Linked DNA regions of Lytechinus pictus. The main gene of each other region encodes a partner of the protein of the gene in region 2 in a complex. Links are inferred from orthologs where the notes say so. Each region holds a gene or a part of one and is shown on either strand. Other genes may lie near its edges.

Region 1 (6,884 bases), on a different chromosome or scaffold from region 2:
CGTCAGCATTTAAGTGCGACTTAAGTCATACTTAAATCTTTGTGAAACACCCCCCAGGGCATCCAACCAAATAACAGACCTAGGGGATATTGCAAAAAAAATATTTCCAAGTAATTGCTAATATTCTTTTGTAATTCACAAGTGATTTATCAATTTTAGCTGCAGCAAATCAGATTACACTGCTTGTTTCGAGACAGATTAGCAATCAATTACAAATTCGCTATTAATTTCAAAATTTAGGATTTAAGAAGCAGATTGCATATTTACAATTAATTGTAAGACATAGGATTATTTTAAGGACTGGAAATAGACTTGCAATTGATCACAAGTTTCGTGCAACGCCCCCATTGGCTGGTTAGATCATTTGAAAGACCCAGAGATGGTTGGACTAATCAGTAGTAGACCAAATAGGTATAGCCAAGATGGTGTTAGACAATCTGGGAATTAGACCATATAAGTCAATTGGTCAAGTGAATACAATCGTATACATTGGAGTTGGTAAAAAGAATTCAATCTGAATATGGCAGGAGATAAAGAGAGAGCGCGAGAATCCATGCAATATTTACCTTTTCAGCTTCCTTTAGCTTCTCTTTCCTCTTTTCAGCTTTCCTTTGCAATGCTTTTTCTAAATTGTTCTTCTTCTTTTTGACTTGAAATGCTGTGGAATATATAAATAACTCATTATAATCACTAACGACCATTGTGTGACCATAATAAACACAACATTCAAATTTCAAAATGTCTAAATCATCTTTCTTCCAAGTTATAAACTGCTGAAAAAAAAATACAATTATAATAACAATGCTTCAAGAGGGACAGCAAAATTCATTAACATCAAGAGCATTTTACCCTCAAATTACAAGATGTGGCAGTGAACTTAGTATCGAGAAATGAACTGGTTAAGACTTTGAAGAGATTGAAATTTGTATCATTATACCAAGCTCCCATTATATCTGCCAGACCAAGTGAAAATTTAGCAAAGATTGTTGTTTTCATTGTCAAAATTCACTGTCTGGTCCGATTTCAACAGTATAATAAGCTTTTGTTATAAAGATTAGAAATGAATGAATAATTTGACTATTAGCCAACAAGAGCAGAACTTCAACCAGTGCCATTTGCGACGGTGCAGCATAGAGCTTTAACCTCAGACTTATACCAAAAGCAATTGACAGCAGAAGCAAGTGTTCTAAAAGGCTTCATCCTTTACAAATTCGATATCTCCGCATTTCTCTATATTTTTTCTGATATCCTAAGTAGGATTTTTAACAATTTTGAGGATTGGTGGGATTATTGGCTGACATAGCCTGATAAGTTACCTCCTCCATCTCCAGAAGTCGCTGTCTGCTCTGTAGAACCTGCCTCCTTTTTCTCCTCTTTCTCCTCCTCCTCATCTGATGCAGCCCAGTCATCCTAGAAAACAAAAATAATAATCAGCTTCAATTTCTGTTCTTCCAAGACCAAGTTAGACCTCATTAGACACGATTACTATCCATGACTGAATTGTGCAACAACAACAAAAAATCAATAAATTTTCCATTACTTTTGGGGTTTTATTTTCTTGAATTTCATAAGTTGGTGCCTGTGGCAAAGAAGGCCAATCCTACAGCACTGACCTCATTGGTCGACAATGACGCATACACAGGGGGTACATTTTTAGAAAGTCAGCACCGCGTTTTTTTTTTTTTTACTGGTTTAAATAAATTCAATTCAATGAATTTCCAGTGATATTATAATTTTCTTTTAAGAAGAAACTTTGAGTAAACTTAGTCACTTTTTTAGATCTAGATTAGAATCTACTGTTTATCAGTAGAAGCGCACAGCCAATATGGGAGACTCTCCAATACGGGAGACAATCTCCTATATTGCAGACTTGCTTTGCAAAAGAACAAAACAACACCAACAAAAGCATAATTTTTTCCACCCAAAATTTTGTCTCACTGAGGTCAGAATCAAAGCCCGTTTGTTTTGTGTGTGGATGACAACAAAAATCCTTATTAAAACAAAATTAGACTGAATTTTTAAAGTAGTGGGTGAAAAGGGGTAATTTTTCATGAGGAACATTTTTATTTGCCACAAACGCAACGTAATCCTTTGGCAGCAAATGTAAACGAAGGAAATTGGTCTCCCAGACTCTAAAATTGGATTCTCAAATTCTTTACAAAAGTCTCTGATATTGGAGATAATCTCTCTCGTGGGAGATAGTCTCCCATAATTGGCCGTGCCCGTGCGCCTCTACTGTTTATTGCAGTCTCGATATTGCAAATTATATCCAACTCCAAGCCAAGCCAGCTTAATCTATTAGTCTACTATTTACTAAAAGTACGAAGTCTAACTCTAAGTTAAACCTAAAATTTTGGTTAGGGCCTAACGTTAAACATCTGTGGATTTTGTACAAGTCAATGGTGCTTGAATTTGAAATTCTGGCTAACATTGTCATTATAATACTCTCGACTCTGCAGCTTTTCTCCCCAAAAAAATTCATGACTTTTTTCAACCTTTTATTTTGAGGTCCCAAAAATGTATAAAAAAAGGATAAAACTAAAAGATCATATACATATAAACATACAATTAAACTAATCAAATTGGCGTAGTGATGTGATTCTATATATAAGTAAAAGAAATAAAATTAAAGCCACTGAGTGACACTGTTTCAAACTCGCCACTAAAATAAAATGCACTCCGACACATACACAACACAAGTCAAAAGGAGTGGGGCTAAGCAAAATCTCACCTTCACATCTTCTTCCTCATCCTCTCCTTCCCATTTATCACCGGCAGTCGCCTTGGCGAAACCCGCATCAGGATCAAAATCGTCGTCCTCTGATTAAAAAAGAATCATAAGATAAATGTAAGAAATAAATGTACTATTTTGCACTGGAATTACTCAAATCAATATTTCACTATAATTTTCTGACATATGTCACTGCACATGTTACTCACCCCAGTCGGCCATATTTACATATTGGGCGGGTGCGAGGCTAGCTAGCTGCGAGCGCGCTATAATGCGAGCTTACGCGCGTGAATGCGATGGGTGCGATGACTTGCCTGAGAGCAATTTGTGTGGGCCGGGAGAAACTCCCCCCCCCCCCCCCCCCGCAGGGGCGGATTTGATCTACCATTTTCCAATATAGAGGGGGTGCTAACAAAATGTACATTTTCCCTCTCGATTGCTTGTAAAGCTAAAATCTGAGGGCATTATTCATAAAGACTGTAATTGAATACATTACGCCTAACGTTACCGAATTAGGTCGTGGCGGGTCGTACTAAAGAAAATAATGTGAGCGCGAAGTGCGAGCTGAATTTTATGTTTTTTCATGAACTTAGACTTTAGACTTTTGTAACCATTGGCAGGATACGAGCAAGAATTTATATATCTTTACTTATTTATTTATATTTATTTAAGTTATAAAAGCCAATAAACTCAACTTTCAAAATAATGTTACCAACAGGGTTGGGCTCAATCACAATATAATTGATCAATTAGGTAATTAATTACATTTTTTTTAAATTGTATTTGAAATTTTGAAAGGGAAAGTGATTGAAAAAAATGTAATTGACTTGAAATACTGTCATTACTTTTAATTACATTCAATTACTTGACAATAAACTTATTCAATTTATTATTTGATTTCATGTATGACATTTTTCATGTCAACTTTTTTTCAGCATCAAAGAGTGTAATAGGCAGAATCTGTGCTCTTTAACATAAACCTTCATCTTGTCAGTTTCTCTGTAACTTATAAAGTATGTTGAAATAGGTGGTGCTAGTAGTACATACAGAGTACAAATTGATTTTATTCATGACTTTTATAGAAAGTAATTGAAATTGTAAATGTAATTGACAAAAGTAATTGCTGATTGTAAGTGAAAACTAATTGAACATTATTTTCTACAATTACCCAATTGTAATTGTAATTGAAGAAAGATGAGCCAAACCCTGGATACAAAATAATTGGAAAACTATTCCTACTTAGGGTGAGCATTGCCCATTTAACAAAGGGTATATGACTAAGGCTGAGCAGGAATTACATGTTTCTTTCAGTTTTTGAGAGGCAATTCCTTAGCGGGGTCCTTTGGAAATTGCAGTTGAGGGTGTTGTGATTGAGACCAGGGGGGGGGGGCCACTTCCATTGACGAGTGGATACCATGCGCGACCACGGGGTCTTGAAAAGCACACTAAACACGTATTTTCCATATTCTGAAAATGCACCCCTTAACAAGTATTGGAAACAAAACGATACTATTAGCAAGTATTCCCTGAAATCATGGACCTATTCGTAATAGGTCCATGCTGAAATGAACCCCTAAACAAGTACATAGATATTTTATTGTTATATGTCACGCGTCCGTCGGTCGTCGGTTTTACCTTTAGACACCATAATTTTGGTTTAGTACGGCCCCACCTTCCACACCTCGCGCAAATCGGACTCTAAACACGTAGTGTTGGGGCAAAAATGACATCCTTTATAGAACATTTTGATTTTGTTTTATCATCCCCGCATATTTGACCCTAAACACGTATATTTTTCCGAGCGAAATAGATACCCTTTTTTCAATATTTTTGTGTTTTTGACACCCTTATCACGTTACGTACGTAACGTGCCCTATCTTGAAAAAGACACCCTTTTTGCGTGTTTTTTTGGTCGCGCATGGTATCCACTCGTCAATGTAAGTGCCCCCCCCCCCCCCCCGGGGGATTGAGATCAGTTTAATTTTCACCTTGCACGAGTTAATATGAATTGCAATCTTTGGTGTAGGATTTTTTTTATTTATATCTCAGCGCATGTAATAAAGGGGGAAATAGTACTTACTGAGTCGGGGGGTGGAGTAGGTTGATGGGATAAGAATATTTAGTAACCCAAAAAGAAACAAAGAATGGGAAAGTGAAAGAAGAAAAAGGGGGAAGGGGTACACATGGTTTTTCATTATTTTTTTTTTTTCATACAAAAATTTTGCTTCCGCGCGGGAAAATTACGAAATCGCTTTTTCCATTTTTTTTCTGCACGCCTTTTCTGCCGGCGGTTTATTGTGTACGACTCGTGAATTGGCCAGAAAGTATAACGGCCTCTAATCCAACCTTCAGCTGACACGGTTTTCTTGTCAGGATGCCACCGTGCCTGACCGTCAGTTGCGTTCGTTTGGTCAAAGTATATGACCGTTGCTGATGGTTTATGGAAAAGACTGATTAACAACCATCACCAACCGTCGTCTCTGGTTTCTCCAGTCAGATCATCCGTCGATTGCAATCGATCACCTCTCTCGTCTCATTTCAGTCAATCGGACATCCGTCGACCATTCAGTCACCAACATTCGTTCCGTACACCAATCATTTGTTCCTTTATAAGGCTGCGTTTATGCGACCTCAAGCCAGAATCATGATTTGAATCATGATTCAAAACAAAAACATGAATCACAATATCACAGAATCAGCGTTTAGACGACCTTCATTCCAATGCTGTTTCTCCTCAGATTCGGGCCAATCCAGTGCGCATCACTAGTGCGCAGTTTGACAGAGGAAGTTTTTCGCACGTGTTTTTGCTCTCGAAAAATCTTTTGCTTCCAGAATTCAGTCTATACCTCATTTTGTTTACTTCTATCATATAGGGTCCATATGTTTCTATTCATCTCGTTAGTTTATCCAAAATGGTGTTTGGAAGTGAATTTCAGCGTAGATCCAATTTAATATTGATACTGTATACTCAACAACAACTGAGATCATTGTCTGTCCAGTTAATTCATTTACTAGAACTTGAAGTTGAAGACATGACCAAAAAATGAAAAGTAGTGGACGATGCGATGACCAACACAGAACTTGAACATGACAAGAAATGCATGCGTAGTACGTAATCATGTACATACAATGAGCATATAGAGCGCCTTGAGCTTGGCAAGAGTCAAACCGAAAGTAGCCCGACACAACAGTGAGGTCATAGAATCATGATTGTAATCACGATATCGTTTATTCGAACATTTTCGTACGTGATTCTGCAGAAACGTCTTTCCAAACGCCCCTTTTATCGTGTTTCATGTTTGTGATTCTAATCATGATTATATTCAATTTCGACTAAACGCAATCGTGATTCTGCAGAATCATGATTTGAATCATGATTCAGATCATGATTCTAGGGTAAAAAAGTGGCGGATAAACGCACCCTAACACTCATAAGAACGTAGTCTAGAGTGTAGGTTCAATGCTTGATATCTTTACCTTTAATTTCTCAAAGATAAATCATTGTACAGAGCAAAATGATATACAAGAGATGAAGGGCAGCATTTGCACTACGGTAAAGGGCCGTAACACAAATCGTCCTTAATGCTCATCGACTCCTCGTATTTATGCATTTTTTAACACTTCGATAAAACAGTTACTAAAGATGACTTCAACAACTACAATAACCTAATTAACTTTGCTAATCAACCAGCTTTCTCGAATAAAACAACTGGATAATGCTTAGGCAACTTTGCTAATAATAAATTAATCAAAAGGTTTCATGACAACTCCAACATGTTTATAAAATGTGCGATTTTTGCTAATTTTCGTTAAATCATAGAACGTCTACACATACGATTTCCACATAGTCTACGTTTACAGACCCTATAAGCTCTCTATGACATTAAATCGGAAACATAGTTCGTTACACGACTCCCTCCTCTCTCGAGCTTGGTCCCCAAGCTAATTAATAACAAACTGTCAACTACTAAACAGAAGGTAACGAAAAACTCCAAAACAACATAATTTCAACTTTAAGTTTCGAAACACAATAAAGACTTTGTCATATAGTTTCTTGTAACAGGTAATTCAGTACAACTGTTTTTATACAATGCAAAGCAACACTGAAATTATGCATTGATTAAAGTCCACAAAAGTCAATATTTTTGACGTC
Region 2 (6,998 bases):
GTCCTATCTCACCCTTTACTCTCCCGACTCCCATGAACACATTGCTGAGATCCAAATGATAAAGTTGAAATGCTGCCAAAAAAGTGTAATTTGTGTTCACTCATGCATTAAAGTTCAATTCAATAATTTAAAACATTTGCTTAAGCAACCAAGACTGGTCACGGCTGATCATTAATTTATCACAACGCCCTTAACTTTGCAAGTTCGAAAGGATTTGCCTCTCAAAAACTGACATAAATTGGAAGGCTAATTCCAGCCCACCCTAATTTTCATACCCTTTGTTTCAGTGGGCAGTGCTCGCTCAAGCATGAATAGTTTTCCAACTTTTTGGTGTCATTTGAAAGTTGACTTTATTGGCTTTCCACATATGTAAGTCTTTTTCCCCAAAGTGCTACATTTTTTATTTGGCAGCCATTTCAAAAGTGTATAGTTTTTTTTGGGACGCACTGTATATTACGAAAATCTGATGTACCCTGATTATTTGCAAGTATTAAGAAGAGGAATTATGACCTCTCTTTTGACTCAAAAAGACCGATTTCCACATGAATTAATACACATAAAAACACATAGGCAAGTACATCACAGTCCCACGTGTGCATTTGTATGTATGTTGATACTTGGTTTTTTTTTAAGCTGTGTATTTTCTAGCCAAAAACAAACAAGACAGTTTCTTTCTTTCTTGTTTATAAATGACTTCTTAAACCACTCTTGAGAGAGTAAATACTTTGGGAAGGCAAGGCAATTCATTGATATGAAATGTGATTTTTTTTCCCAACATTTTGGCAAATATAGGGAAGGACTTTTCTCACACTTTTTTTCCAGATATAAATTTTGCCGTTTTCTTTTTTTTTTCCTTTCATTTTTTTTTGACAGTGGTTAAACCATTTATACCCCTTCCCATTGAATATGCCTGATTAAAAAATATGTTTCTACTGAAAATAAAATAATACAAACTAAAGGATATAAAAATGAAAATGTGCCATTCCCAAAAAGTAAGTGAAAATTATTTGCTTGGCTTTTAATTATATTCCAGTCAGAATAGACTGTTGCCACAGCTGTTAAAAAATATATGTAATGGCTTCTTAATTTTCCACTTTTCCCCATTTTTTTATTAACTGTTTTATTAATTTTTCTTTCATTTTCTTTCCTTTTTTCTCTCTAATTTTTTTCTTTTCTTTTTTCCCCTTCATTTTCTTTCTTTTGTTTTATTTCACTAATTTCTTTTATTATTTTTGTTTTCTTTTTGTAATATACTTTTTGAAAATTATTTTCGTTTGTTTCTCCCTTTTATGCATTGTTCTAAATTTGCAGCATATTTTTCTGTGATTTTCTCCTTCTATAATATGCTGCAAAAGAGAAAACAGAAATAAACTGGATTTGGGGCATGCATAATCTAGGTTTTAGGATTCAAAGAGGAAGGAAGGAAAAACCATTGATTTGTACATCTAACTGAATTTGCTATGCACTATTTATTTACTTTACCATTAGCTCTATACAGAGATTTAAAAAAAAAGTCCACACAACCTGCGAACAATACAATTCATTTATTCTCTTTCAATCATTTCATTTATACAACGATAGAAACATTTATAAATTAGCAAAGTAAAATAACAGCAAACAAGGTTTACATACAAGATGTATAAAGTAAAAGTAACATATAGTGGTAGTGGCTGCAGAATTAATATTTCAGAAGTTTGTTTTATTCATTTTTAATGTTTTTCTTTATATTTTTCGGGCCACCAAACTTTAATATCGGGCCACCAAAAAAAATTATTTGATGGTTTTGGTGGCCCGAACGGGCCACCACCAAAAAAAGTTAATGTGGAGCCTTGAAGTATATGTCAAATTTTTTTAAAAAGACATCATCATGGGGCCTGTTGCATGAAAGGGTCTTTCGTAGAACCATTCTACGTAAGAACGAGATATCGCTCAACTGTTTCACAAAGCCGATTTGGGCGATACGAAGAATGGTCCTTGGAAAGACACCTCCAGACATGTCCTACGTAGGCATGATCTTCTTTGGACACCACCCACCTATTGTTCTTCCCCAACGTTACCCGACGCATGCGTCTGTAACGTTGGCGAAGAACAATAGGAAACAAGATGGCGGCGAAAACATCGGGCAAGTCTCTTCCGTCTTTACACAACATTTCTCTCATTTTTTTGATGAATTCTTGTTCAAAAATAACAACGAGAGCGTAGAAATGTCGGAAATGAAGTTTTATCCCATGTACATGATTTAGGGCTAGATCTTTTAGAAAGAAAGTAGAAATTTCGGGGGCGAAAGTTTCAGGTTTTTTGGTGGTACACGCAAAAGTATATGACGGAAGCCCTGGCTTCGTACTATGAGAGTGACCTTACGTTAGTAAATGATTTTTACTCTCTAGAAGCCGCCTGGCTACCTAGGACTCCTAGGAGTAGGAGTAGTAGTACTAGTAGGACGTTCCTACGTATCGCTCATCTCGTCGTCATGGTCGTGCAACAGGCCAATGGAGTCCTCGACTTCTCAAGACTACTCATAGTCATAGTCATACACGCATCATCGACGACGTACATTCGGTAGTCGGCCCCTACCGTACCGTACCATACCGTACACATTCTACACAACATATGGGAAACTGGTAGTGGTACGCCTATGCAATAATGCATGAATGAATAGAGAGGCATTCCACTGGCACTACTATCATGTACTAGTAATTACCTTTCCGAGGCGATCTCCCTTTGAAAATGGTTGGTATGGAATATCTTTGAATTGCTTTGGAATCGTACAAGGACCCCATCCTGTTGGATTATCCTGTATCTCTGGAGGAATGAATCGGGCGCTCATTTTTATGATATTTCGGTGAGAGTCCTTCTTTTTTCCCGGTCGCCGCACACATGCACATGCAGCCAAATATCACACTAAAGTGACCCGATCATGAGATGGCGCTATTAAACCCCAGTGCCACAGAGATACGATCTTACGTATACGTAAGCTCCCGTAAGCTCCTGTACACAGCCAACATGGCTGCCGGTGGACAATTTGAAGGTTGATTTTGGAGGGTCAATGTTTTATTCATGAGAATGACGTCAAAATACGCATAATGCACTTGTATGATTGGATTAAACGCTAATGTTTTATTCATGTACTCATGCATTAAACATTTTTTTCCGTCCCACAATTCCCTACGATATCTGTGCGAAGTGTCGTTCTTTTGGACTCTGCGAATTTGAAGTTTCTGAAACGAAATAGCTAGACTAATTATCTGTTTATAGAATTGATGTTCGAAATCATGGTTTCTGAGTGAACTTCATTGGAGCGGAAAATCTTGGAGGGAACATCAATACTATTCTAATGACATTCCATAGGAATAAAAGTAAGTTACGCTCATTTTCATGTTTTGATCTCACTTGCAAATTGTAATGTGTTTGCCGGGGTTCGGGGCTCATCCTGTATTACGCACTATGTAAACCTCAATTTCAATATTTCTTTTGCCTGACTTCCAAATAAGTGTGATCATTGAGTTTCTCAAAAATACTATATCTAGGGAGTAGGGGTCTATAGTTTGTCGTAGATCTAGACATTCATCGGAATGCTTCATGTAGGTCCAAAGTAAACCTTTATTTCAGTTTTATTGTGATTAGACAATTATCAGGGGTAGATGTAACCCAGAGAGCTCCCGCCCGCGCAGCGGGCGGGAGCCCAGAAGCTTACCGTGTATTTTACCATTGTCACCGGACTAGGGTGATTTATGGTCTAAATATTTCTCCAAATGAATTGTGAAAACAGAAAGTATACAATTACCACGATTATATGGATGAAGGTCTAACGAGTGGCAGATTCCTGACATCTGGGCACAGTCTGGAACCTCAAAAAAACGAAAAGTTCTCTCCTTCTACCCCGTCTCGATCGGCCATTTTTGTTAAAAATCACTAACAAAATGGCCGATCGAGACTGGGTAGAAGGAGAAAACTTTTCGTTTTTTTGAGGTTCCAGACTGTGCCCAGATGTCAGGAATCTGCCACTCGTTAGACCTTCATCCATATAATCGTGGTAATTGTATACTTTCCGTTTTCACAATTCATTTGGAGAAATATTTAGACCATAAATCACCCTAGTCCGGTGACAATGGTAAAATACACGGTAAGCTTCTGGGCTCCCGCCCGCTGCGCGGGCGGGAGCTCTCTGGGTTAGGGTAGATGTGGACTTGTTTCCGACCTCCTGTTTTTTAGTAACGACAAAGGTCGACAAACTGTCGATTTTAGGCCTATTCAAATTTAGGTCAATGATATGTAGGGATATGGTCAGAGCGGGATCCGGCCTTTGATATCGCCGGTGCTAGCCGAGCGAGATTGTCGATGTAGTCATGGGGTATGAAAATAGCGGGGACGTATGGTGGCCCTGAAGGGACATCGCATATAGACCAAATCGCGAATATTCACGACGAAATTGGCGACGAAATTCACGACGTCGCCAATTTCGTCGTGAATTTCGTCGTCAATTTGAATATTCACGACGAAATTGGCGACGAAATTCACGACATCGTGAATTTCGTCGCCAATTTCGTCGCGAATTATTCACGACGAAATTCACGACGTCGCCAATTTCGTCGCCAATTTAAATATTGACGACGAAATTCACGACGAAATTCGCGACATCGTAAATTTCGTCGCGAATTATTCACGACGAAATTCACGACGTCGTGAATTTCGTCGCCAATTTCGTCGTGAATTTGTTTTGTTTGCCTGGGCGGTATGCGGGTTGAAACCAATTCGTCTGCTGCTAATTCCTCCACTGCAGGGTCGACCTACATTCATTTACTCTAATGCAATTCTGGCCATTAACTTTTCGCCTAACAACCATATGGTCCAATAACCATTTGGTCCAGTCATCACTTCGTCTATAATCACCAGTTCGTCTATGACCATTTCGTCTCACAACTAGTTGGTCTAATATCAATTTTATTTTCCTTAATTTCGCCCAATTAACACTTAGTTCAATTAGACAAAATGGCATATGGAATAAATGGCAATTGGACCAACTTGGTTATTAGACAAACTTGGCAGTTAGACCATGTGGATAGTGGACGAACTGATGGTAGACCAAATGAAAGCTGACGAGTTGGCATTAGACCAATTGAATAAAAAAACATTGAAACGACAGAACGATGTCCACTGCTATCCATATGCATAGGCGGATCCAGGGGGAGGGGGCCGAGGGGCCCGTCCCGTCCCCCCCCCCTATTGGCGGAGCAAAGAAAGGAAATAAGGAAAGAAAGCAAAAAAGGAGGGAAAAGAGAGTAGAAAAAAGAAGAGGAGGAGACGAGTGAATAAAGTAAGATGAGGGGAAGACATGGAAATAAAAAGAATATTTCATGTCACTTCATAAAAATTTCGCTCGTGCTTCGCGCTCACATTGCCTGTTAGGTGATTTTCATAATCTTGTTCAATATGGAGTTTAGATATCAAGTTTGGAAGTCAATATACAAAACATATTTCATCTCGAAAATCAAACTTTTATTATTTTGCGTGATTTACAAATTGATTTTTAAAAAGTGCTCTGTAAATATGACAGTTTTATGGTCTGAATATTAACATTTCCCGCTCGCGCTGCGCGCCCGCAAATTTCGATTTATCAGGTACCTATTATTTTCGTGTATTCCATAAAGTTTTCAAAATATCCCTTTTCAGGTCTGATTGTCAAAACGTATCAGCCAGCGCTACACGCCCGCATTTTGATCGTATGTCTCAATATTGATTATACAATCCCCTTTTCTTGACAATGCACAGATTTAGGCTCGCAATTTGCGCTCGCATTAATTGTTAAAATATATTAACTGATGCATCCTATTTATAATTACAAATGCATGAAATGTCCAGTTTTCAGGCCATCGACTTCACGCCCTCATTAAGCATTAATGAATAAGATATTAATTTAATAATTGAATTGTCCCTTTTGTTTCATCTTGCGCTTAGCAAGAGGAATAGGAAGACATTCATCATTTTTATATGATGAGATGTCCTATATGTCCTAAGGATGTACCGGTCCTATGTCAAAACTCAAAGAATTATAATGAAAAAAATCAGCTCTGTGTGATCCATATCCACTTTACAATTTTCTTACAAAGTGCTTGAAATATAGAATATCAAATAGTTTAAGCTCGCGCTTCGTGCTCGCTTTGATTTTCATGATAAAAGATGTATTTAGAATGCCTAGATTCTAGGTCTAAATATGAAACACGCGCGCGCATGTTTATTCAGATATTCAACTTGTTCTCTATTTAAATCATTATCCAGTTTCAGATCACAATATAAACAATTTTCTGCTCGCACTTTGTGCTTGCATCATTAATGTAGGAATTACTCATTCTTTTCCAAATTTACAAAACATGAATAGAGTGTCCCGTGTTAAGGTCTAATCTCGATTTTTTTCCACTCGCGCTTCGCACTCGCATCAATTGTTTAGTTATATAGCTATCCTGTTCACGATTACAAAAATTGATTAAAATGTTCCATTCTTTATGTAGAAATGTCAAAATTTTTCAGCTCGCGTTTCGCGCTCGCATCAATTGTTTATTATATACCTATTCTGTTTAAGTTACAAAAAGTCCTTAGAATTTCCATTTTTAAGTAAAAATTTCAAAAAATTCAGCTCGTGCATCGCGCTCGCATTATTTGATTTTTAAAATATATAACGTCTTCATGACTAACTGCATGCTGTCTTTAACAGGTACCTATTCCACCAGTTCATTTCTGCTCGCGCTTCGCGTTTGTAGTAATTATTTATTTGCATACACATCTTTTTTAGGAAAACAAACATTGCCCAGAATGTTCAAATTATAGGAAAAAATACATAAGATTTCCAAAAAAAAATTAGCTCGCGCTTCGCGCTCACATTATATAAATAAGGATTATGATATTATATATTTATATTGATTTATAAGAATAAAGCTAAGAAGACCACCCCTTCACAGAAACCAAAAATCATCTTCGAGCGGCCGATCGGGGAAAATATGGCT
Region 3 (6,880 bases), on a different chromosome or scaffold from region 2:
CTGGCGTCATGACGTGCAATTCAAAACAGCTTTTAACGGTCTGGCGTCATGACATGCAATTCAAAACAGCTTTGAACGGTCTGGCGTCATGACGTGCAATTCAAAACAGCTTTTAACGGTCTGGCGTCATGACGTGCAATTCAAAACAGCTTTTAACGGTCTGGCGTCATGACGTGCAATTCAAAACAGCTTTTAACGGTCTGGCGTCATGACGTGCAATTCAAAACAGCTTTTAACGGTCTGGCGTCATGACGTGCAATTCAAAACAGCTTTTAACGGTCTGGCGTCATGACGTGCAATTCAAAACAGCTTTTAACGGTCTGGCGTCATGACGTGCAATTCAAAACAGCTTTTAACGGTCTGGCGTCATGACGTGCAATTCAAAACAGCTTTTAACGGTCTGGCGTCATGACGTGCAATTCAAAACAGCTTTTAACGGTCTGGCGTCATGACGTGCAATTCAAAACAGCTTTTAACGGTCTGGCGTCATGACGTGCAATTCAAAACAGCTTTGAACGGTCTGGCGTCATGACGTGCAATTCAAAACAGCTTTTAACGGTCTGGCGTCATGACGTGCAATTCAAAACAGCTTTGAACGGTCTGGCGTCATGACGTGCAATTCAAAACAGCTTTTAACGGTCTGGCGTCATGACGTGCAATTCAAAACAGCTTTTAACGGTCTGGCGTCATGACGTGCAATTCAAAACAGCTTTTAACGGTCTGGCGTCATGACGTGCAATTCAAAACAGCTTTTAACGGTCTGGCGTCATGACGTGCAATTCAAAACAGCTTTTAACGGTCTGGCGTCATGACGTGCAATTCAAAACAGCTTTTAACGGTCTGGCGTCATGACGTGCAATTCAAAACAGCTTTTAACGGTCTGGCGTCATGACGTGCAATTCAAAACAGCTTTTAACGGTCTGGCGTCATGACGTGCAATTCAAAACAGCTTTTAACGGTCTGGCGTCATGACGTGCAATTCAAAACAGCTTTTAACGGTCTGGCGTCATGACGTGCAATTCAAAACAGCTTTTAACGGTCTGGCGTCATGACGTGCAATTCAAAACAGCTTTGAACGGTCTGGAGTCATGACGTGCAATTCAAAACAGCTTTTAACGGTCTGGCGTCATGACGTGCAATTCAAAACAGCTTTTAACGGTCTGGCGTCATGACGTGCAATTCAAAACAGCTTTTAACGGTCTGGCGTCATGACGTGCAATTCAAAACAGCTTTTAACGGTCTGGCGTCATGACGTGCAATTCAAAACAGCTTTTAACGGTCTGGCGTCATGACGTGCAATTCAAAACAGCTTTTAACGGTCTGGAGTCGGTTTCATTGGTGTGACTGTAGCATTCCACATTTTTGGAATCATGGTGCCATCTCTGACCCTGATCCTGGACCTACCATCCTGGGCCACGTCCTGGTAGAGCTTCTCCAGTCTGTTGTTGTTCCTCAGCAGGTCCAAGCACTGTCTGTAAGACTCCCAGAGAAACTTGACCCATGGTATCAACACCACACGGTCACTCCTGGCCTGGGCATCCTCTCCACTTACAGCACTTAGGAGAAGACTGCAGGAAGACAAAAACAGTGGGAGAACAAGTCAATAATAGGACCCACTGGTGGGATGCCTATAACATCAGTTGACACTTACTAATGGAGCATTGCAAGGATCTTACATTCAACTGCAAATCGAGCGTTAGTCCCAAAATCAAGTCAAATCGGGCATGCTTATCATATAAAGTTGGAATTAAATGCAAATGAACTACACCTTTGTGTTTAATCAAAGGAAGTGATTCTGATCTCGAGACTTATGCTTTATTTGGAATTGAATAAATTATTTATGCTATGGGTCAACTGTCAAATCCTGAACTTCAACAGTTAAACTTTTCCCAACACTGAAGGTAAGAAACAACAATTCTTTAAAAATTCTCTTCTTACCTTTCTGGGGTGGTAAGATTATCAAGATCGTCAACATCGACCCCAACAACAGCCTCAGAAGCCTTCCTAGCCTCCTCCGTCTTGACTTCAGCAAGCTTCAAGTATTTCCTCACGACATCTTCCAAAGACTTGACATTCACCTAACAGCAAGAACATAACAAGGAGTTAAAATCAACAGAGCATTTCACAAGAGGACTTGTCATATATTTTATCCAATAAGTCCTGTTTTAAATGACAAAAACCATAGTAACAGTGCTTCTCAGCTAATCAAATTCAAGGAAAGACGTCAGATCTGACAACTTATTGGACAACAAGGGTTGATGAAATGCTCCCTCACCTATGAAATTTCTTGATTACACATGAAAAAAAAAAAGGAAATATCTAAGAAAGAAACAATTTCTTATCATTCACTTCAGCTTGAGCAATTGGTGTCAGATTAGTTCACAAATTTGCCACATAATGTGAACAAAAGTTAATAAACAATAGCTGATCAGTGTTTTTCTTATTTCTACAATGTACTAGCAGTACCCAAAATCAAAACTTGAATATTTATTTACGAACTTTAGATTGGTGTTTTGACGTTCTATTATCAAAGAAAAATCAGTGAAAATGGTGTCAAGAGCGGTGGCACAACATTTGGTCTGGCGACAATTGTTCCAGGCTTAATTTCATCTAAGATGTAGGGTTAGGGTTACAATAGGGTTTTATGTGAGGTTTAGGGTAGGGCACATGTATAGTGTTAAACCAAGGGTTGAAGTTGGTCATTTGATTAGTGCGTGGAATTTAGAGCAGAGCAAATGTCATGGAACCGTCAAGAACATCTACAACACATTCAGGAGCCCCCAAAGCATTTCTGCCACAAAAGTATGCCTACCTGTTGACAAATGATCTTGTACTGGTAGAGGCCCTCTTTGGCAATGTGGCTCTTACGTAGGTCAACGCAGAGCTCCAGATACTTCTCCATGATTGGTTCGTGTATCTTCTGCCATGTTCGATGTCGCTTACTCTTGATGACATCATAGAGGGCATCCAAGGCTGGCTGCTTCTTGCCGACATCAATGAACTCTGAGTTGACAAACAGAATCAGTACTCATCTTTATCAGTACAAAGATTATTTCTTTGTTAGATAAATGAAAGCATTATCATTCATTATGAAGCAACCAAAGTAGTTACACAAATTATGTCCCAGCCAAAGTGGAAAGTTGATTTGATGGGGAATTTTAAAATAAAAGGGTGAAAGTTGAAAACAGTAAGAAAGTTATGAATCTTTTTAAGTTGTAAAAAGCAGAGCTGACTTTGTATCTGCCACTTTAAAAAATGTAATTATGGTAGGTTATTTGACACCTGCATTTTCTTCAATACATAAAGTGACGTAAATGTCACTTTTTCAAAAAGACACTCAAAAAAATTATTTCATAAAGGCATGTAATAGTATTCTTCAGACATACATATTATTTTTTCAGGGACTCAATTTTAAGGCGCGCGAGAGCGATCGTGCGCTACATGCGCGCCTTAATCCATTTTAGGTAGCGCGATTAATAGCGCGCCTCGCGATCGCTAAGCGAAAATGCCTGAAGTCGCCCTCAAAATCACCTAAAATCATGCTTTCGGGGACATCAAATCTGAATGTCGCCCCCGAAATTATTGCCGAGTGATAACAACTAAACGGCCCACTAGCGCCATATGCTCGAGCTCCGCTTACCATTTAAAAATCATCCAAAATCCACACTCAAAATCATGAATAAGCCTTGAAAATAGCGAGCGCAGTTTCAATTCGACATAAATTGTTTTCTTTGTTCTCTTATGTTATTTTTTCTATATGTTCATCATTGTTTTTTACTTATATGTATTGACTTTTATACAGTGTATTTGTTTTTATGAAGAATGAAAAAAATAAAAAATAAATAAAAAAATTCTGAAGTTGCGTCTTTTTTTCTGTACCATGTATTTCCATACACATGGAACCAGGTATGACCAAAAAAATCTACGCAACGGTCGGGAAACAGTTGCCTGTATATGGGTCCATTATGACTACCACCATGTGCAATTTCGAATGCACATGTTTCCCCTACAGATAATTCTGTGATAAAATAATTCGAATTACACAGGAAATAAATCCCAGAGTCTAGTAACCTAGCATTGGTGAGTTGTCATTCGGCTTTGCTTTTCAAAACGGCCTATTAACATCCAAAATAAGTTACCTTATTTATTAATTATAACTAAAAAATCATTTGTTTTCTTTTTCTAGGGGATGAGGTAAATATCAGACAATAAATCATCAAACAAAGCTCTATCTATTTTTAACAAGGCCGGCGGCAGGCTCACGCACGAACGCATTGGTGCATGTACTACTACACTAGCCAGTCGGAGCTCTGTCTCTCTGCCAGAGCTCTGGGGTACAATTCGCTCAGTAAAGGCCTCAATGATGGTGATTTTCTGTTTCAGACAGAGTTTACATTTCAGGTACATTATTCAAAACTGCCAATAAAGTTTGATTTCTTAATTGTCATGTATATTTAAGATCTTAATGAATACATTCTCACCAAATTTAGACTCCCCCATAGAGAAATGCAATTTTCATGGAGATCTGCATTTTCAAAGAACTTCAGGAAAAGTTAGGGTATGTGGGCCTCTATATTACATGTACATGGCCGAGTACAGGGTATTGTACTGGAATAGACGGAGTAGAAATTAAATATTGAATTCATTTATATCCAAGTCCAACTCACAGTCACACACACACGCACACATCCACATCCAAGATTCTAAGCATCATGAAAAAATAACTTAAAAAATCATACAATATTAAACAAAAAGTAATAATTCATTAATAAGTGAACAGGTATTCCTCAAAATACAAAAAAGTTGCATTTAAAAAGAGCCCCCGAAATGCAAAAAGTAGCCCCCGAAATTTGACGAAAAATTTGTCAGTGACTTAACTTTTAGCCATAGTCAAAAGTCACTCAAAACCTCACTCAAACAGGTTTTATAACACACAATCTAATTACAAAACATTGTAAAACAATTATGAATATTGCATATTCGATTGTTTCCTTCCTTTGGTTGTTAATTGTAACTTAGTACATAGGCCTATATTTCCTCCATCCGTTTTGTTAATTGGACAAAAAGCTCCCCTTGTATGTTGAAGAAGAGCTTTTTGCAGTGCTCCTCTACCGCTCTCCTTAAAAGTTCTACAGGGAGAGCTTTTTATTGCTCCCCTCATAATTATGTCGGAAAGTGGAATTTTCATTTGGTTGCTTGAGAAGAATGTTCCTAATTTGCATATTATTTTCGTACAGGTGTTTGGAATTCTCTTGATCGGCCGGATCACTGGATAGGGTTAGGATGATCGATGTATGTACGCTCCAAAAATATAATTCTAGTTATTTTCTAATCCTTGTTATGTATTTTAAGGGTTTTAAGGATTTGTTTTCTCGTAATATTGAGTGAAAACAATATATATACTTGTATCTTTTTCATATTGGCTGTTTCAAAGTTTAACAAATCCTTAGCAGAATGATATTTTTTTGGGTGGTTCCGCGACTCCACTGCTTGTTGGCATTTTACGTTAGGTAGATTATTGCACGTCCTGGTTCTGGTGCAGGTCGGACTGCAATCGAAGCAGGCCTGGGAAAGGGCTGATCTGGTCCGACTCATTTGATCCTCCTCGAGTCTTGAGATTTCGAATAATGGTAGAAGCTGCTACTCCTTTGTGGTATCCTGGGTGATGTAGGTGGTGTGTAACCACCAGTAGCCTCTGATTTTGGGGTTGTTGTTTTGTTACTCCTTTCATTTTGTTGGTTTTGGCAAACCTCAATAAAGTCAAAGAAGCTCAGATCTGGTGTCCCGTAGCATCTGTAAAGTTTGCTCCGTTACGGTCTTAATTGGCTAACTCAACCCACCCCCCGACAAAATGGCGACGAGGATGGGATCATCAGATCATGGCTGTGTTCCGATGTCAGCGATCAACCCCAAAGTCAGCGATTGAGGTCTATCGTCCAGAGGTCAGCGACCAACTAGGATGATGGCAGTGAAGTTCTACACATCCAAGAGACTTTAACGTTCTTACTTCGGAGAGGGAATGGTCAACACATGAACATTTGGTAATGAGTTAAAGGTGGTTTAGGTAATCTCAGATAACTATGAGTAGAGTTAATTTTTGATTGTTCATTGATTTACACCACTTTATACATGTGCATAGACCTTCTCTCCCCTTTGTAGAATTATATAGCCCTTGTAACGATGTCACAGTCTGTAGAGGAAATGGTGTCAGTCCTTACCCGGGCACTGCAAGGCTTGAATATTCAACGTGCTCCCCCACCAGTGAAATTGTCTAAATTTAAGGGTCCACCTAAAGTCGCTGGAGACTTATCTCTGGAAGAGTGGCTTGAAGAGTTTTCCAGTTATACTACTCACTATCAGTTGTCTGGAGAGGCAAAAGCACAGTCGCTTGTCGATCATTTGGCTGGAGTTGCCAAAGAAGAGGTTCTATGCCGAGATGAGGATGTGCGAAAGGATAGTGATCAAATTATCAACGTTTTACAGTCACTCTTTGCAGCGTCAGAGTCGGTACCTTCACTAAGTCAATCCTTCTACAATAGACGACAACAAGAGGGCGAGAGTTTGGCCGACTACAGCCGGGCCTTGATGAGGTTGTACGATCGCATGGAGAAAGCTGCTTCCAGTACAGAAGATAAGAATGCTTTGAAGAGGCTCAAAGATAGCTCGCTGAAAGAACGTTTCGTTTGTGGAGCTAAAGAGAAGTGGGTACAACGAGAGTTAAGACGAATTGAAATGTCTTCAAAGAGTAAGAACTTTCTTGAGATGAGATCTGAAGTGCTTGAATTTTTCTCTGGTCAAGAACCAAGAAGTTCACCACGAGTTCATGAAGTGTATGCTGAGCGTGCTGACATGTGTTCTAGTTTTCCCAAGCAAGAGAAAG
Region 4 (7,043 bases), on a different chromosome or scaffold from region 2:
TAGCTACGCGGGTTTTGATAATTATGCTACTCTTTATTAATTCTTACAAACAGTTCTAAAAATCCTATTTTTTTCTTGTTTAATCAACAAAGACTTATAATCACGATTTTATTTGATAAGGTATAGATACAAAACTCTCTTCATTAATTTTTACAAACAATCGTCTCTTTTTAGGAGAGGATATACCAACAAAATCAGCTCGCGCTTCGCGCACGCATTACGCCGATGAGATACGTATAGGAAGTTAATGAATTCATAAAATACTCTTTAAAATTGTACCCTTTCAAGTAAGTATCAGCTCATTGCTCGTGCCTGCATTGATTGCTTAGTTATAGATCCGCATCGTGGGACTTACTTCTCCCTAAAATGTCCCGATTTCAGGTCTGAATGATTTTCGGCTCGCGCTTCGAGCTCGCATTAATTTTTTAGAATTAATATTCAGTCTTAAGATCTTAATGTTGAATAAAAAAACAGGTTCGCGCTTCGCCCTCGTATTAGATCGATTTATTTAATGAGATCCCTGCATCAGTGATTCCCTGTAATAATTTAGTATGATAAATGTTCCTTTTTCAGGTCAAAAGATCAATGATTTTCAGCTCGCGCTTCGCGCTCGTATTCATTGTTCAGGTATAGTTAGATACCAATCACAGTTATGATTACAAAAAAACAACAAAGAATATTCCGTATTAACGTCTATTGAAAAATGTTTCCACTCGTATCAATGCGAGGGTCTCCGCGACGGGAAAATGGGAATTTCTATGGTTTTCTGAATTGCTGATGCTCTGGACCGGAAATTTAGGCTGGGGGTCTCAACCACGGCACATATACATGTACGTATCATTCATTTATACTGAGTATATTAGGAAGTTGGTGAAAGTAATTCCCCCCCATTGGCGAATGATCCCCGTATGGAGCTTGCATAATAAATAAAATTATCAAATTAAAAGATATTTTTATTTACAATAATAACTATTAGTTAATAATAATAATAATGATGATAATAAACAATAATAATAATAAAAATAATAATAATGATAATAATAAATCATAATAACATTTAGGGCGCTTTATAGGGCGCTTAATTTGTCTCAAAGTTCACAAGTGGGTGTGCTGACTAATGATAAATATAATCCATTAGAAAAAACTCTATATTTAATTAATTAACCAAACCAAATTTATCGGTGAATTATCGGATGGTCTAATACCACATCATCTACTTATCAGTTCGTCCAACTTCACATAGTCTAAACTCATTTCGTCTACAACCAGTTTGTCTAATATCCAATTCGTCTAATTCCCACTTGGTCTAATATCCTATTCGTCTAATTTCCATTTTGGCTAATAACCAGTTGGGCTAATTTCCACTTGGTCTAATATCCAATTCCTCTAATTCCCACTTGGTCTAATATCCAATTGGTCTAATGAGCAGTTGGGCTAAAATCATTTAGTCTAATTTCCAGTTAGTCTAACACCACTTGGTCTAATTTCCACTTTGGCTAATTTCCACTTGGTCTAATTATCATTTTGTCTAATTGCCACATGGTCTAATGACCGTTTGGTCTAATTTCCACTTGGTCTAATTTCCATTTAGTCTAATTTCCACTTGGTCTAATATCCAATTGGTCTAATGACCACTTGGTCTAATAGCCAAATGGTCTAAAGACCACTTGGTCTAATGACCAGTTCGGCTAATCGTCACTTGGTCTAATTTTCATTTGGTCTAATTCACACTTGGTCTAATGTCTATTTATTCTAATATAGCATCATTCATTATTATTTATTTATCTAGAATTAGCAAATATGGTACGTAATGGATAAATACAATGCATCAGTTAATACATATCGCCAGGATCTGGAGGGGTAGAGCTGGTGGGCGCAAAACCTCACCGTGAAGGACTATCGATGACAAGATAGTCGCTCATCAAACTAATTATTCTAATAAAATAATTCTCATAATTAGGCCTGTATATCGATTATAAGATGATGATAAAAATTATATCATACTCATAATCATTACATCACCGCATGCACATTTACAGAACAATAAGTTGGGGACCTTGTAGCTTATAATGGTCGAATGGCGGGGTTTCATCAGAATAAAATTATTATGAAGAAAGGAACGAAAATATAATGTAATTGATTGTGTGGATACGTATCTGGTAAACATATATATGCCTCTTTTAAATCATTGTTATGCACCATTACGGACGATACTTGAACTTGATGTCCTAGTTATGCAGTTTGGGGGAACCAAAACTTACAAAGTCATTAGATCATGTAATTTTGTTATGAACATTTGTTTAGTTATTTCAATATTTAGTTTGGAGGCAAATAACAGACAAGTTAGATATAGTTTGATAACACTATACAGGTATATTGGGTTAGCTGCGACAACATAACTGCGACCATCTTGGTAGCAGCCACATAATTCTGACGTGTAATAACATAGTATACATGTAGTCTACGCTTGCAGACCTTTATCAGTTATCACCACAACAGTCATTCATCTTATATATCTTCTCATTCTGTTTTTTGTTCTACTTCTTCGCCTCTTCCTTAAATGGATTGGCAAGGTTCCCACCCCATTAGGGAAATCAGGGATTTTTAAAACGTTTTTCCAGTCAGGGATTGCCTCAAATCCGGGAAAAATGTCTCAAATGAGGGCAAAATCAGGGAATTTTGATCGGCCCAAAAGTCGAAAGCATGACAGTCTGTTATATTTTGTTGTATTTTAAAACAACATTCATTGAATGACATGATATGGTGTTGGTTTTTTTTTTAGTGTAGCCTCTTCTACTACAATACAAGTATAGGCCTACTGGTACATTATACATGCATAACTAAAATAAAAATAATACATGTAATTCACTGCAACAACTTCGAAAACATGTGAAACTGGGAATGGGTTTAAATAATTATCAAGGAATTTTTTAACTTCATCAGAGATATCAGGGATTTTTGTTTTCTTGAAAAGTTGGGAACCATGATTGGGTTAAGCCATCGTTTCTATCTACAGTAGATCGTATACATAGAGGTGAATAAATAAAAATAATATTTTTTCACCTCTATATTAGCGTTATTTTACAGAAAAATAGCAAATTTGATTGTTTTTCACCAAAACCTTCAAAAATCCCCTGAAACAGACAAAAAATCCCCAAAGTTTGTATAATCCCCAAATAATTTTTTTCATCCCCACAGGCTTTCGAAAATCCCCATATTTTCAAAATTCAGTTGGAGACGAAATATACGTCACTCTAACTGTACTCCAATATCGAGGGGCGCACATGTGAAGATTCGAAGCCGGCGCGCGGAAAGTAACTTTAAAAATTTCACCAGAAAATTGAAAACAAGTCACCATGCAGACTTTACGAATTAGACCAAATGGCATGTAGACGAAATGAATGTTAGACTATCTGGAAATTAGACCAAGTGGAAATTAGCCGAAGTGGAAATTAGACCAAGTGGAAATTAGCCGAAATGGAAATTAGACCAACTAAACATTAGACCAACTGCACATTAGACCAAATGAATAATGGACCAAGTGAGGATTAGACCAACTGGTATTAGACCAACTAGTATTAGACTAACCGACTATTAGACGAACTGGTATTAGACCAAATGCAATTAGACCAAGTGACAATAAAATACATTAGACCAAATGAAAATTAGACCAAGTGGCTATTAGACCAAGTGGTCATTAGACCAATTGGCTATTAGACCAAGTGGTCACTCATTAGACCAAAAGAGAATTGGACTAAGTGGGTTTAGCCCGAATGTTGTTAGCCCATCTGATGATTAGACCAAGTGATAATAGACCATCCGTCAGTAAAATCTCAGGTTGAAGCCGGGGCTGAAATCCTCTTTAAAAATTATATTTCCCTTTTTTATTCGTTCTTGTGAAGGTAAATATTTATGCCGTTTTCTTCCTTCTTTTTAATCGCACGCTATTAGTCGCCAGTAGCCAGCGCGCAGCTTGTATCGTCTATGTCCGGCGGAGCCGGAGATCTTTGATTGAACGCGCGGGCGCGGCGCTGCGCGCGCACATCCATTGAAGGAATCTGTCAAGATGGCGGAATTCGACCTGACTTCGAAAATCGGACAATATTTGGATAGACATCTTGTTTTTCCGTTGTTAGAGTTTTTGTCAGTACAAGAAGTGAGTATTATGTACAAAGATGGTGTCTCAAACTTATACGGATTGTATAATCGTTGTAATTATCATGAATTTCGTGCCATCTGGTCGCAACTGTGTGCCCCCATGTGGGATTCGACAGTCCGACGTGTTCACTTTTGCGTAGGCAATGGTAGGCCCTGGCTTAGCCTTAGGCTAGATGATATGATAAATCATGATCTCAATTTGAATAGTAACTGCCCAAGATTCAACATGACATGTTAAGCTATTCTGCATGATATTTTTAATCTAAAAAATCTTTTCACAAAATGAAAGAGATCCTTATGTATGACTGTGTATGTTTGTTGAGCATGCAGTGTTTTGAAATGGAGACGAGTCTAGAGAGTAGATAGAGATAAGGTGTCTGAAGTGAAGAGTGAAGACTGAAGGCAGTGAAGCCACACTGAAATGTGTCAGCACAAAACAGGCTAATTTAGGGGAAAATATGGCACATTTTTTCGGGGAAGTTTAGGCTACTAGTACTATAGGCCGGTCAAATTGAAATCCTAAAATTTTTATTTGAACGTCTTCACATTTTTATTTACAATGACATGAAAGAGAAAACAAAATCAAAGCAAACATACCAACTCCCAGTTCCAAAGGTTTCCAAAAAGTGAAGATATTAAGTGTCAAACTATGGCCTTTGTGAGACCAGAAAGGGACAGAGATAACCGATTCAGCCCCCTAACTTCCCCGAAGCTAGTTGTCACGTAAAATGGTCGATGAATAGCTAGTTTCGAACGACCTCCTTAAATTAATATTCAATTTTAAATTTGCCGCTGCAGCCCGGCTCGTAGTCTGTGGTAGCTTGTGCACGAGACGTTATTTACGAAAAATGCATTCTAAAAAGTAAAACTCTCGGCAAAATCGTGATATAGGCCCCGCTCGAGAAAAACTTGTAATCGATTATACTACCTCAATATCTAGGTTGCTAACTTCAGCTCACTATATATACTCGTGATATAGGCCCCGCTGCTGTGTTGAATGGCTTAGAATGTCCGTTTGCGGGGCCTGTTTCACGAGTATAGTACTATAACCGTTATATAGGCCCCGCACTACGGCACTTCAGACACTCCAACACAGTAGCGGGGCCTATATCACGAGTATATATTAAGCTTGCATCCTAAGATAGTCGCGAAACTGGCCCCGTCCAATGCGCTTTTCCCAGCATTCGCACGTGTGTGGGGCTCGGATGACGACTATAGTAGTATACTCGTTATCGAGGCCCCTTACACTGTTATATAATGGAAAATAACGTGGTCGTGGGGCTTGTTTCCCCGGCCGGTGAGAATTATCATGGGCGGCGCTGTAGGGGGAGCCTCCAATTTATTTTCCAAATATACAAGGAAAGAATATCATGAGCGGCGCTGTAAGGGGCGGGGGGCTCCTTATTTTCCAAATAAACAATTAAGGAGAGAATGATTTAATACTTCTTCAGAAATTTATTTGTGGATTTATTTGTATTTATTCATTAATCATTTGATTTATTTGTTTTCATTTTTTTTTTCTTTTGTGATGTAGAGAGTCAGAGGTATCATTCGTTTTTAATTATTTTTATGTGTAAAATTTCATTTATTTATTTCTCAATCTATTAATTAATGTATTTATATTTATTCATTAATCATTTAAGTCATTTGTTTTCTTTCTTTTTTTTGTTATAGAGAGAGTCAGAGTTATTCGTTTTTAATTCTTTTTATTTGTGGAAGCTCATTTAATTTATTTATCAATCTATTTTAATTGATTAATTAATGTATTTATATTGATTAATAAATCTATTTATAGTTATTCATTAATCATTTAATTTATTTGTTTTCAGTTTTTTTTCTTTTGTGACTGGTAGAGAGTCAGAGTATCATTCGTTTTTAATTATTTTCATGTGTGAAATTTCGTTTATTTATTTATCAATCTATTATTTTGATTGATTAATATGTATTTATATTGATAAATAAATGTTGATATTGATAAATATATTGATTAATAAATGTAAAAATGTATAAATGTATTACCCAACAAGGCAACGACAATATTATCATCTCCCATTAACAAGAACTTTATTTGCAAAGAATTCATTTGTCTTTTCCGGGCCCGCCTACTGGAACTCTCTGCCTCAAGATTTTAAAGAATCCCCTAATATAAATATTTTTAAACGCAAACTGAAAAAAATGTTAATTTTGCAATACTCGTTGCAAGCAGATCATGCTGAATAACTGATTTATTTATACTCGGTTTTTGTGTCTATCGTGTATTATATGCGCTCGTATACACTCGTATATACATGTATATTATTTGTTATTACTTTTTTCTTCTTAAAATTGCAACTAGCCAAAGTACCTGCTCCTGTTGCCCGATTTCTTTCTATGTTATGTACACTGCATTTCTCTGTCCCTCCCCTCTTCTCCCCCTCACATTCCCCCTCTCTCCCTAATGCTATAAAACAAAATATTTCTCACATCAGTTTTTTTTCTCGTAAAATGCACCAAAATTGTTTGTATTTATTTTTAAAGTTCTATATATCATTACGACCCAGTGTTTTTTTTTGTAATGAAACTAAGTTTATTTAGGGGCTTGCCTTTTGTACAAGCTTTGCTTTTTTTTGGCAAGACCCTCCGTTTTTACTTTAAAATACAATTGTCATATTAGGTAATTTTATTCATTGAATTGTGCTCCTTAAATCTAAGATTATGTTATATATATTTTATTACGTCTTGCAGTATTTTCCACCTTGTTTTGTTATATTTATCATGCTTATGTTGTGAAACGGAAATCAATAAATCAAATCAAATCAATATTTATATTGATAAATAAATGTATTTATATTGATAAATAAATGTATTTATATTTATTCATTAATCATTTAATTCATTTGTTTTCA

The links.
Region 1: eukaryotic translation initiation factor 3 subunit D-like (region 2) and eukaryotic translation initiation factor 3 subunit J-like share a complex: the UniProt entries of both Drosophila melanogaster proteins name them as parts of the eukaryotic translation initiation factor 3 (eIF-3) complex. The link is inferred for Lytechinus pictus from reciprocal best matches to the Drosophila melanogaster genes eIF3d1 and eIF3j.
Region 3: eukaryotic translation initiation factor 3 subunit D-like (region 2) and eukaryotic translation initiation factor 3 subunit A-like share a complex: the UniProt entries of both Drosophila melanogaster proteins name them as parts of the eukaryotic translation initiation factor 3 (eIF-3) complex. The link is inferred for Lytechinus pictus from reciprocal best matches to the Drosophila melanogaster genes eIF3d1 and eIF3a.
Region 4: eukaryotic translation initiation factor 3 subunit D-like (region 2) and eukaryotic translation initiation factor 3 subunit E-like share a complex: the UniProt entries of both Drosophila melanogaster proteins name them as parts of the eukaryotic translation initiation factor 3 (eIF-3) complex. The link is inferred for Lytechinus pictus from reciprocal best matches to the Drosophila melanogaster genes eIF3d1 and eIF3e.

The regions. Positions count from the first base shown.
Region 1 is NC_087249.1:11,753,750-11,760,633, reverse strand, and holds the start of eukaryotic translation initiation factor 3 subunit J-like, read right to left. Parts: upstream 3,023-6,884; 5' UTR 2,954-3,022; coding exon 2,941-2,953; intron 2,821-2,940; coding exon 2,732-2,820; intron 1,411-2,731; coding exon 1,317-1,410; intron 659-1,316; coding exon 567-658; intron 1-566. UniProt on the Drosophila melanogaster protein: Component of the eukaryotic translation initiation factor 3 (eIF-3) complex, which is involved in protein synthesis of a specialized repertoire of mRNAs and, together with other initiation factors, stimulates binding of mRNA and methionyl-tRNAi to the 40S ribosome.
Region 2 is NC_087254.1:36,520,560-36,527,557, forward strand, and holds the start of eukaryotic translation initiation factor 3 subunit D-like, read right to left. Parts: upstream 3,031-6,998; 5' UTR 2,828-3,030; coding exon 2,702-2,827; intron 1-2,701. UniProt on the Drosophila melanogaster protein: mRNA cap-binding component of the eukaryotic translation initiation factor 3 (eIF-3) complex, which is involved in protein synthesis of a specialized repertoire of mRNAs and, together with other initiation factors, stimulates binding of mRNA and methionyl-tRNAi to the 40S ribosome.
Region 3 is NC_087256.1:10,923,837-10,930,716, forward strand, and holds the start of eukaryotic translation initiation factor 3 subunit A-like, read right to left. Parts: upstream 3,005-6,880; 5' UTR 2,903-3,004; coding exon 2,813-2,902; intron 2,079-2,812; coding exon 1,939-2,078; intron 1,569-1,938; coding exon 1,405-1,568; intron 1-1,404. UniProt on the Drosophila melanogaster protein: RNA-binding component of the eukaryotic translation initiation factor 3 (eIF-3) complex, which is involved in protein synthesis of a specialized repertoire of mRNAs and, together with other initiation factors, stimulates binding of mRNA and methionyl-tRNAi to the 40S ribosome.
Region 4 is NC_087261.1:10,574,138-10,581,180, forward strand, and holds the start of eukaryotic translation initiation factor 3 subunit E-like, read left to right. Parts: upstream 1-4,043; 5' UTR 4,044-4,066; coding exon 4,067-4,156; intron 4,157-7,043. UniProt on the Drosophila melanogaster protein: Component of the eukaryotic translation initiation factor 3 (eIF-3) complex, which is involved in protein synthesis of a specialized repertoire of mRNAs and, together with other initiation factors, stimulates binding of mRNA and methionyl-tRNAi to the 40S ribosome.